2 linked regions of the Macaca mulatta genome follow. The main gene of each other region encodes a partner of the protein of the gene in region 2 in a complex. Links are inferred from orthologs where the notes say so. Each region holds a gene or a part of one and is shown on either strand. Other genes may lie near its edges. The genes, in order: PTN and ITGAM.

What was found.
Region 1: the proteins of ITGAM (region 2) and PTN are in contact, whole or in part, in an NMR structure (PDB 8VOH), measured with the Homo sapiens proteins. The link is inferred for Macaca mulatta from reciprocal best matches to the Homo sapiens genes ITGAM and PTN. Residues at the interface, in NP_000623.2 of Homo sapiens: Pro273, Asp276, Arg277, Gly279, Val280, Ile281, Arg282, Tyr283, Lys306, Pro307, Arg309, Asp310, His311, Ala334, Ile335, Glu336, Gly337, Thr338, Gln339; in NP_001308315.1 of Homo sapiens: Val56, Pro57, Thr58, Ser59, Asp61, Cys62, Gly63, Leu64, Thr66, Glu68, Thr79, Lys81, Thr82, Gln83, Arg84.

The regions. Positions count from the first base shown.
Region 1 is NC_133408.1:177,081,689-177,085,502, forward strand, and holds part of PTN (pleiotrophin precursor), read right to left. Parts: intron 3,647-3,814; 5' UTR 3,646-3,646; coding exon 3,531-3,645; intron 2,319-3,530; coding exon 2,145-2,318; intron 28-2,144; coding exon 1-27.
Region 2 is NC_133425.1:29,918,671-29,922,979, forward strand, and holds the start of ITGAM (integrin alpha-M), read left to right. Parts: upstream 1-1,462; 5' UTR 1,463-1,487; intron 1,488-3,397; exon of another isoform or gene 3,398-3,415; 5' UTR 3,416-3,487; coding exon 3,488-3,515; intron 3,516-4,309.

The sequences.
Region 1 (3,814 bases), on a different chromosome or scaffold from region 2:
AGGCCTGGAACTGGTATTTGCACTCCGCTAAAGGCAGGGTAGAACCAAACAGAAATCCTTGAAAGATCCTATTGTACTTCCAGGATAATAAAGGCACTCTTTTGTTTGTAACTTTTTTATTGAAATAATTATAGATCCATGTGCAGCTATAAGAAATAATACAGAATGTATGCGTGTGTATTGAGTTCTGTTCAATTCTATCACATGTGTACATGCATGCAATCACCATCAATATACACCATTAATATACATTAATATACACCACTAATATACAGTCCCAACACAACACTGGGTCATTCTTTATAGTCATGGCCTGGCCACCTTCCTCCTTCCCCACTTCCTTAATCCCTGGCAACTCCTAATCTGTTCTCTAGCTCTATCATTTTTCTAACTGAAAAATGTTGCATAAATGGAATTCTACACTATGTAAACTTCTGAGATCGGCTTTCTTTTTTACTTAGCATAATTACCTGAAGATCCACCCAAGTCGGGTGCATCAATAGTCTGTTTCTTCCTATTGCTGAGTAGTACTCTACAGTGCCAATGTACCCTGGTTTGTTTAACCATTTATCAGTTGAAGGACATCCGAGTTGTTTCCAGCTTTGGGTTATTACAAATAAAACTCCTGCATAAATTCATGTATAGGTTTTTGTGGAAACATAAGTTTTCATTTCTCTGGGATAAATGACCAAGAAACTGCTGTGTTACATGGTAAATGCATGCTTCATTTTGTAAAAAACTGCAATACTCTTTTTCCACTGCGGCTTTACCACGTTACAATTTCCACTGGCAACATATAAGGGATCTGGTTTCCCTGCACCCTCACTAGCATTTCGTCTTGTCACTATTTTTTATTCTAGCCACTTTTATAGATGTAGAGTGATCTCTCATTATGGTTTCAATTTCTAGTTCCCTAATAAGGAAAAGATGTTGAATACATTTTCAGGAATTCATTTGTTGCCTATATATCCTCTTTGGTAAAAGGTCTGTTAATGTTTTTTCCCCACTTTCTTACTGAACTGTTAAGTTTTGTTTGTTTTGTTTTGTTGTTTTGTTTTTGTTGCTGTTGTTTTGTTGTTTACTGTTGAATTTGAGAGTTATTTAATATTTTCAATATAAGTCTTTAAGATAGACCGTTTAAACTTTTTGAAAATAGGTTTTTGAGGTGCCCAGATACAGTTTAAGACCAAATGTACCTGTTCTCCATCACGCTTTTATAGAACTTATCTATCTCCATTCAAATAGAAAATACCCCAAAGATTACAGAGGGAGAAAAAGATGTACGTGTATACATCCATTGTTCTTCCTCACTTGTCTATGGGCCACAGTGCATTTCCACAGAACACAGGTAGGACATTTCAGGAATCATGTCCCCAAAGACAAAAAGTCTGGATCGTGGAAGAAAGAGGTTATTTGAGGGTTCAATATTGGATATAAAGTTGAAAGTGTTGACAGATCCTGTCTCAGATAGATAGATCAGGCCAGCATAAGACTGACTCTAGCCAGTGGGAGAAAGATCTATGAAAAGTGACTGTGAGCAGCCCTGCTGGACTCAATAAGTGAATCTGTGAACCTGTGTGGAGGGTGGGGAGGGATCAAATGAGAGAGAAGGCCTGAAAGTGACAGGGAGGGACATGGAGAAGAAGGGGAATAAACAAGAAAAGGGGAAAGGAAAAATCAAAGGAACTTAGAAATAGAAGAAAGGAGAGAGAAGATATATCAACGAACATTATTAGGAGGAATCAAGGATATATTTTATGTCCCTTTGGAAAGGCAGTGGTTCCCAATCAGGGATGATTTTGACCACAAGGAGACATTTGGCCATAGATATTTGGAGACATTTTTAGTTTTCACATCTGGAGTGGGTGAGGAATCCTACTGGAAACTAGTGAGTAGAAGCCGGGGATGCTGCTAAATACCCTAAAATGCACAAGACAACCTCCACAACAAAGAATTGCCTGGCCTGAAATGGGACCAGTGTCAAAGTTGAGAAACACTGGGGTTGGGAAAGATATCTGGTCACTTTGTGTCTGATAAGATAAAGTTATTTAAAATAAAAAGTACTCATCCTTAAAAAGACATTTGGTGGAAAAATTTGAGAATTATCTTAGGGTAGGAGATTAACTCAGTAGCATGAAGCTTACCTCCAAATTGCTTCTTCCAGTTGCAGGGGATCTTACATCTCTGGGTCTTCATGGTTTGCTTGCACTCGGCTCCAGTCCGAGTGCCTTCCCGCGTGCCCAGTCCACAGTCTCCACTGGTGGGCACGCACACACTCCACTGCCATTCTCCACAGTCAGACTTTTTCACTTTTTTTTCTGAATGAAAGGAAGAAAACCTAATCAACATACAGAAAACTCCTTAACTTCCAGATATAACCAAGTTCATTCCTGAGAACCTTAATTGTAGGATCTGTGTGTTTTTTTTAATCTCTATCCTTATTGTCCAGTGAATAATAGAAATATGACGAATATTAACCAAAGTATTGAACCAAAGAATGATCAAGAGAAGAGAGAAAGAAAACTGAGAAAAGAGCTAAAACTAGTATTAATTTAACTCCCTCTTACTATGTGCCAGAGACTTTGCTAAGTGACTTAGTGGCATCTCCTTTTAGAAGCAAATATTTCTATAAAAGAAGAGATGATCAAAAATAGTTAAGCCTAAAAATTGAGAAAATATTCTATTAGAAATGACAGTTGTCAGCCGGGCCCAGTGGCTCATGCCTGTAATCCCAGCACTTTGGGAGGTTAAGGCAGGCAGATCACAAGGTCAAGAGATCGAGACCATCCTGGCTAACATAGTGAAACCCCAACTCTACTAAAAATACAAAAATAAGCTGGGCGTGGTGGTGCATGCCTGTAGCCCCAGCTACTTTGGAAGCTGAGGCAAGAGAATTGCGGGAGATGGAGGATACAGTGAGTTGAGATTGCACCACTGCACTCCAGCCTGGTGGCAGAGCAAGACTCCATCTCAAAAAAAAAAAAAGAAAGAAATAACAGTTGTCAAATGAGCCATTTCAGTGCAAGTTATTGTTCCTTTCTCTGTCTTGTAGAAGGAATGACATCATACATATATGGTGGATCACAGATTTAAACAGACTGTCAGTTCCACAGCCTACTTATGACTTTGAGAGTGGCGTAGAGAAGGTGCTTTAGCTTCTCTGTGCCTCAGTTTCCTCCTCTGTAAATCTGAAATTAAGGAGAAAAACAAGTTGCAGTGCATTTTTTTTTTTTGAGGTAGAGAGGTAACATAATAAAGCACCTGATTGCTGGTCAATGTTCTATACATAGTAGCTGCTAATTTGATCATTATATTAAAGACCATCATCGTCATGCAATCCAGGACTTGCAATGGGAGACAGGATATTTCTTAGGTTCCTCTAAATAATTATTTTTAAAAAGGGAAGATTGAAGGAATACAGGAATAGGAAGGGAGAGAGGCAGAGTAGAAGAGATGAAGGAAAAGCAGGTAATTAGGCTAGATGGACATTAATCAATGAAGCATCTTGCCTTCAGAACCCTACTGCTTACCTGGTTTCTCTTTCTTCCCTGCTTCAGCAGTATCCACAGCTGCCAGTATGAAAATGAATGCCAAGAAGGCAGCTGCAAATTTTTGACGCTGCTGCTGGTACTGTTGAGCCTGCATTCTAGGAATAAACAGAGAAAGAGAAGAAGGTGGCATTAACCTAAGTCAGAGAGGAAGACTCATTGAACCCCTTGATGAAAGGCTCCACTTTCCATTTCTGGAATGTTAGATTTCAGGAAGATTCATATCAATTATCTTGGGTAGAATTTCATCTATTCTCACCAACAGC
Region 2 (4,309 bases):
GAGATTATAATACCCTGCTGTTTTTAACTACTAAGTTTTGGAGTAACTCACTCTGCAGCAATAGATACTGGAACATACCTGTAATCCTTCCATCTTGGAGATAACGACTATTAACATTTGGTTCTCCTGCATATATATATGATTTATTTTTGTATGTATGTACTTATTTATTTAATTTTAATTTTTTATTTTTTGAAATTGAGTCAAGCTGTATTGCCCAGGCTGGAGTGCAATGGTGTAATCTCAGCTCACTGCAACCTCCGCCTCCCAGGTTCAAGAGATTCTCCTGCCTCAGCCTCCCAAGTAACTAGGATTACGGGTGCCCGCCACCACACCTGGCTAATTTTTGTATTTTTAGTAGAGATGGGGTTTCACCATGTTGGGCAGGCTGGTCTTGAACTCCTGACCTCCGGTGATCCTCCCACCTCGGCCTCCCAAAGTGCTGGTATTACAGGCGTGAGCCACCACGCCCTGCCTATATATATTTAGAGACACGGTCTGGTTCTGTTTTCCAGGCTGGAGTGCAGTGGTGCAATCATAGCTCACTGCAGCCTTGACCTCCTTGGCTCAAGCGATCCTCCCACCTCAGCCTCTTGACCACATTAGCTGGGACCACAGGTTGCACCATTACGCCCAGCTAATTTTTTTTTGAGACGGAGTCTCGCTCTGCCACCCAGGCTGGAGTACAGTGGCCGGATCTCAGCTCACTGCAAGCTCCGCCTCCCGGGTTTAAGCCATTCTCCTGCCTCAGCCTCCCGAGTAGCTGGAACTATAGGCGCCTGCCACCTCGCCCGGCTAGTTTTTTTATTTTTGTTTTTAGTAGAGACGGGGTTTCATCGTGTTAGCCAGGATGGTCTCAATCTCCTGACCTCGTGATCCGCCCGTCTCGGCCTCCCAAAGTGCTGGGATTATAGGCTTGAGCCACCGCGCCTGGCCTCGCCCAGCTAATTTTTAAAATTTTTTTGTAAAGTCAGGGTCTTGCTGTGTTGCCCAGGCTGGTCTTGACTTCCTGAGCTCAAATGATCCTCCTGCCTTGGCCTCCCAAAGTGCTGAGCTTACAAGCAGGAGTTATCATACCTGGCTAGATATAAAAATTATAAACAGATAATTTTAAACCAAATGTACATAATTTTAATTGCTTTTTTTTTTTTCCCCAGCCAGCAAGCATTTTTTTCCATCTAGTTATCAGGAAAGTAGAATTAGAGGCAAAAGAAAATGTGTTGAATGGTGAAACCCTGTCTCTACTGAAAATACAAAAAATTAGCTGGGCGTGGTGGCACACGCCTGTAATCCCAGCTACTCGGGAGGCTGAGGCAGGAGAATCACTTGAACCCGGGAGGCAGAGGTTGCAGTGAGCCGAGATCACACCACTGCACTCCAGCCTGGGTGACAGAGGAAGACTCTGTCTCAAAAAAAAAAAAAAAAAGGTGTTGAGAAAGAGTGAAAAAAATCGTTGGCTTGAGATTCACATTGGCGGTCACATAAAGGTGAGGTTTGTGTTCCGTGTGTGTGGAAGGATACCTATTTTCTTGTGCCTTCGAAAACAGAATTAAAAGTGACAGACACAGGGGAGGGTAAGGATAGATGACAGAGTGAAGTATCATTGAACCATTCCTCTGTTGTTGAATATTCAGGTCTTTTTTTTTTTAGCCTTTCACTATTAACAATAATGCCGCAATGAACAAGCTTGCATATATATATATATATTTCTTTTTTTTTTTCTTTTTTGGAGATAGAGTCTTGCTCTGTCACCTAGGCTGGAGTGCAGTGGCACAATCTCTGCTTACTGCAACCTCTACCTCCAGGGTTCAAGCGATTCTCCTGCCTCAGCCTCCCAGGTGGGATTGTACGTGCCTGCCACCATGCCTGGCTAATTCTTTTGTCCTTTTTAGTAGAGATGAGGTTTCACCACGTTGGGCAGGCTGGTTTCAATTGCTGACCTCAAGTAATCCACCCGCCTTGGCCTCCCAAAATGCTAGGATTACAGGCATGAGCCACCGAGCCCAGCCAAGCTTGTACATATACTTTTGACTATACTTCTTAACTATTTCTTAGGATAAATTACTAGTAGTGAAAATTCTTGGGTGAAGAGCTTGAGGCCTTTAAAAAAAAACAAAAACAAAACACACACACACACACAAAATAAGCTGGATGCAGTGGCTCACACCTGTAATCTCAGCACTTTGAGAGGCTGAGGAAGGAGAATCACTTGAGTCCAGGAGGTTGAGAACAGCCTGAACAACATAGCAAGATCTTGTCTCTACAAAAAATTAAAAAAAAAAATTAGCTGGCCATGGCATGTACCTGTAGTTCCAGCTACTCAGAAGGCTGAGGTAGGAGGATCACTTGAGCCCAGGAGGTTAATTGAAGCTGCAGTGAGCTGTGATTATACCACTGCACTCCAGCCTGGGCAGCAGAGCTACACTCTGTCTCTGAAAAAAGCACAAAATAATACTTAAAAAGCACAAGGTGTGCCTGTACTTGAGTTGTCCTTGTATGGCTACAAATGAGGACTGCTCTGGCTGAAGGGCGCTCCCGTTTCCATGGGCTGAACGAGAGACATTTTGCAAAGTGTGTTTCCAGGAAGACACAGAGTTTGACCTCCTACACTTGTTTGATCGGTATTAATGTTTGCTTATTTATTTATTTATTTTGAGACAGGGTCTCACTGTGCCACCTGGGCTGGAATGCAGTGGCATTATTGGGGCTCACTGCGGTCTCAAACTCCTGGGCTCAAACAATCCTCCTGCCTGAGCCTCCTGAGTAGCTAGGACTACAGGCATGTGCCACCATGCCTGGCTAATTTTTTAAATGTATTTTTTTGGTAGAGACGGGGTCTCGCTCTGTTGCCCAGGCTGGAGTGCAGTGGTGTGATCATAGCTCACTGCAGCCTGGACCTCAGGCTCAAGTAATTCTCCCGCCTCAGCCTCTCGAGTAGCAGAGGATACAGGTGCGCACCACTGTGCCCAGCTAATTAAAAATATTTTTTTGTAGAGACAGGGTCTCTCTGTGTTGCCCAGGCTGGTTTCAAACTCCCAGGCTCAAGCAATCCTCTTGCCTTGGCCTCCCAAAGTGCTGGCATTAACAGGCATGAGCCACTGCGCCTGGCCCGTATTAATGTTTAGAACATGAATTCCAGGAGGCAGGCTAAGTCTGTTCAGCTTGTTCATATGCTTTGGCCAACCCAAGAAACGAGTATGTGACAAATGGCACCTTTTGGATAGTGGTAGTGACTTTGATGGTTTGAGCCAGGAAGCTGGGGAGGAAGGCTGGTCAGGCTGTGGGCAGTGCTGGGAGGATTGGGAGGAAGACCAGGCAGGGCTGTGTGGTCACTGAGCCTCCGCCCTCTTCCTTTGAATCTCTGATAGACTTCTGCCTCCTACTTCTCCTTTTCTGCCCTTCCTTGCTTTGGCAGCTTCCTTGGGGTTCCTCAGTGGCGCCTGCAACCCCCGGTTCACCTCCTTCCAGGTTCTGGCTCCTTCCAGCCATGGCTCTCAGAGTCCTTCTGTTAACAGGTGCATGGGGGTGGGGTGGGGGACTCTGGGTGAGGAGGAGGGGAACTTTTGGGTCTGTCATAAAGAGAGGGCCCAGAGTATGTAGGATTCAGTCTGGGGAGAGGCAAAGGGGATTGGGGAAGGAGAAAGGGTTCAAGAAGAAGCAGGGAGAACAGCTAGACCCAGACAGGCTGGCCAGGGAAGCCTGGATGAATGACCACATTCATGGACTGTGCAAGGCTGCTTGGTTGGTCCTTGCTTCACAGATGAGGAGACGGAGGCCCAGAGAGGAGAAGTGACATGGCCCAGGGTGCACAGCAAGTGTGAGACCCCCTTCCTGAGTACTTCCTCCTGGATCCCCTCTCACCATCTCCACTTTGCCTCCGGTTCCGTTTTCCAAGGACCCGGGTGCAAATGTTTGTTGAATGACTGATGAATCAAAACGATTTGAGTTTGTTTCCTTTTATGCTTGTATGTTGTGGAAAATGAAATTCTCCACAAAAGGGAAGGAAATGCTTGAGAGCTGCATAGGAAGGAAATTATCTAATTGAGAATGCATAGAAACTTCACTGTTGGGCAAATCATCATTGTGGTGACACTGGGGGAAGAGACCATTTGGGTGCTCAGAAGGGAGGCTGGAATTCAGAGCGGGACTGGACGTACCCCATGATGGTGGTTCTTAGGTCAGGAGTCAGCGAACAGTGGCCTGGGGGCCCGATATGGCCCACCACCTGTTTTTGCACAACCTGCCAGCCAGAGGTTGAAGATGAACACTGACAATCGATTTGATCATAGGGAGCACCACCCCCAAAGAA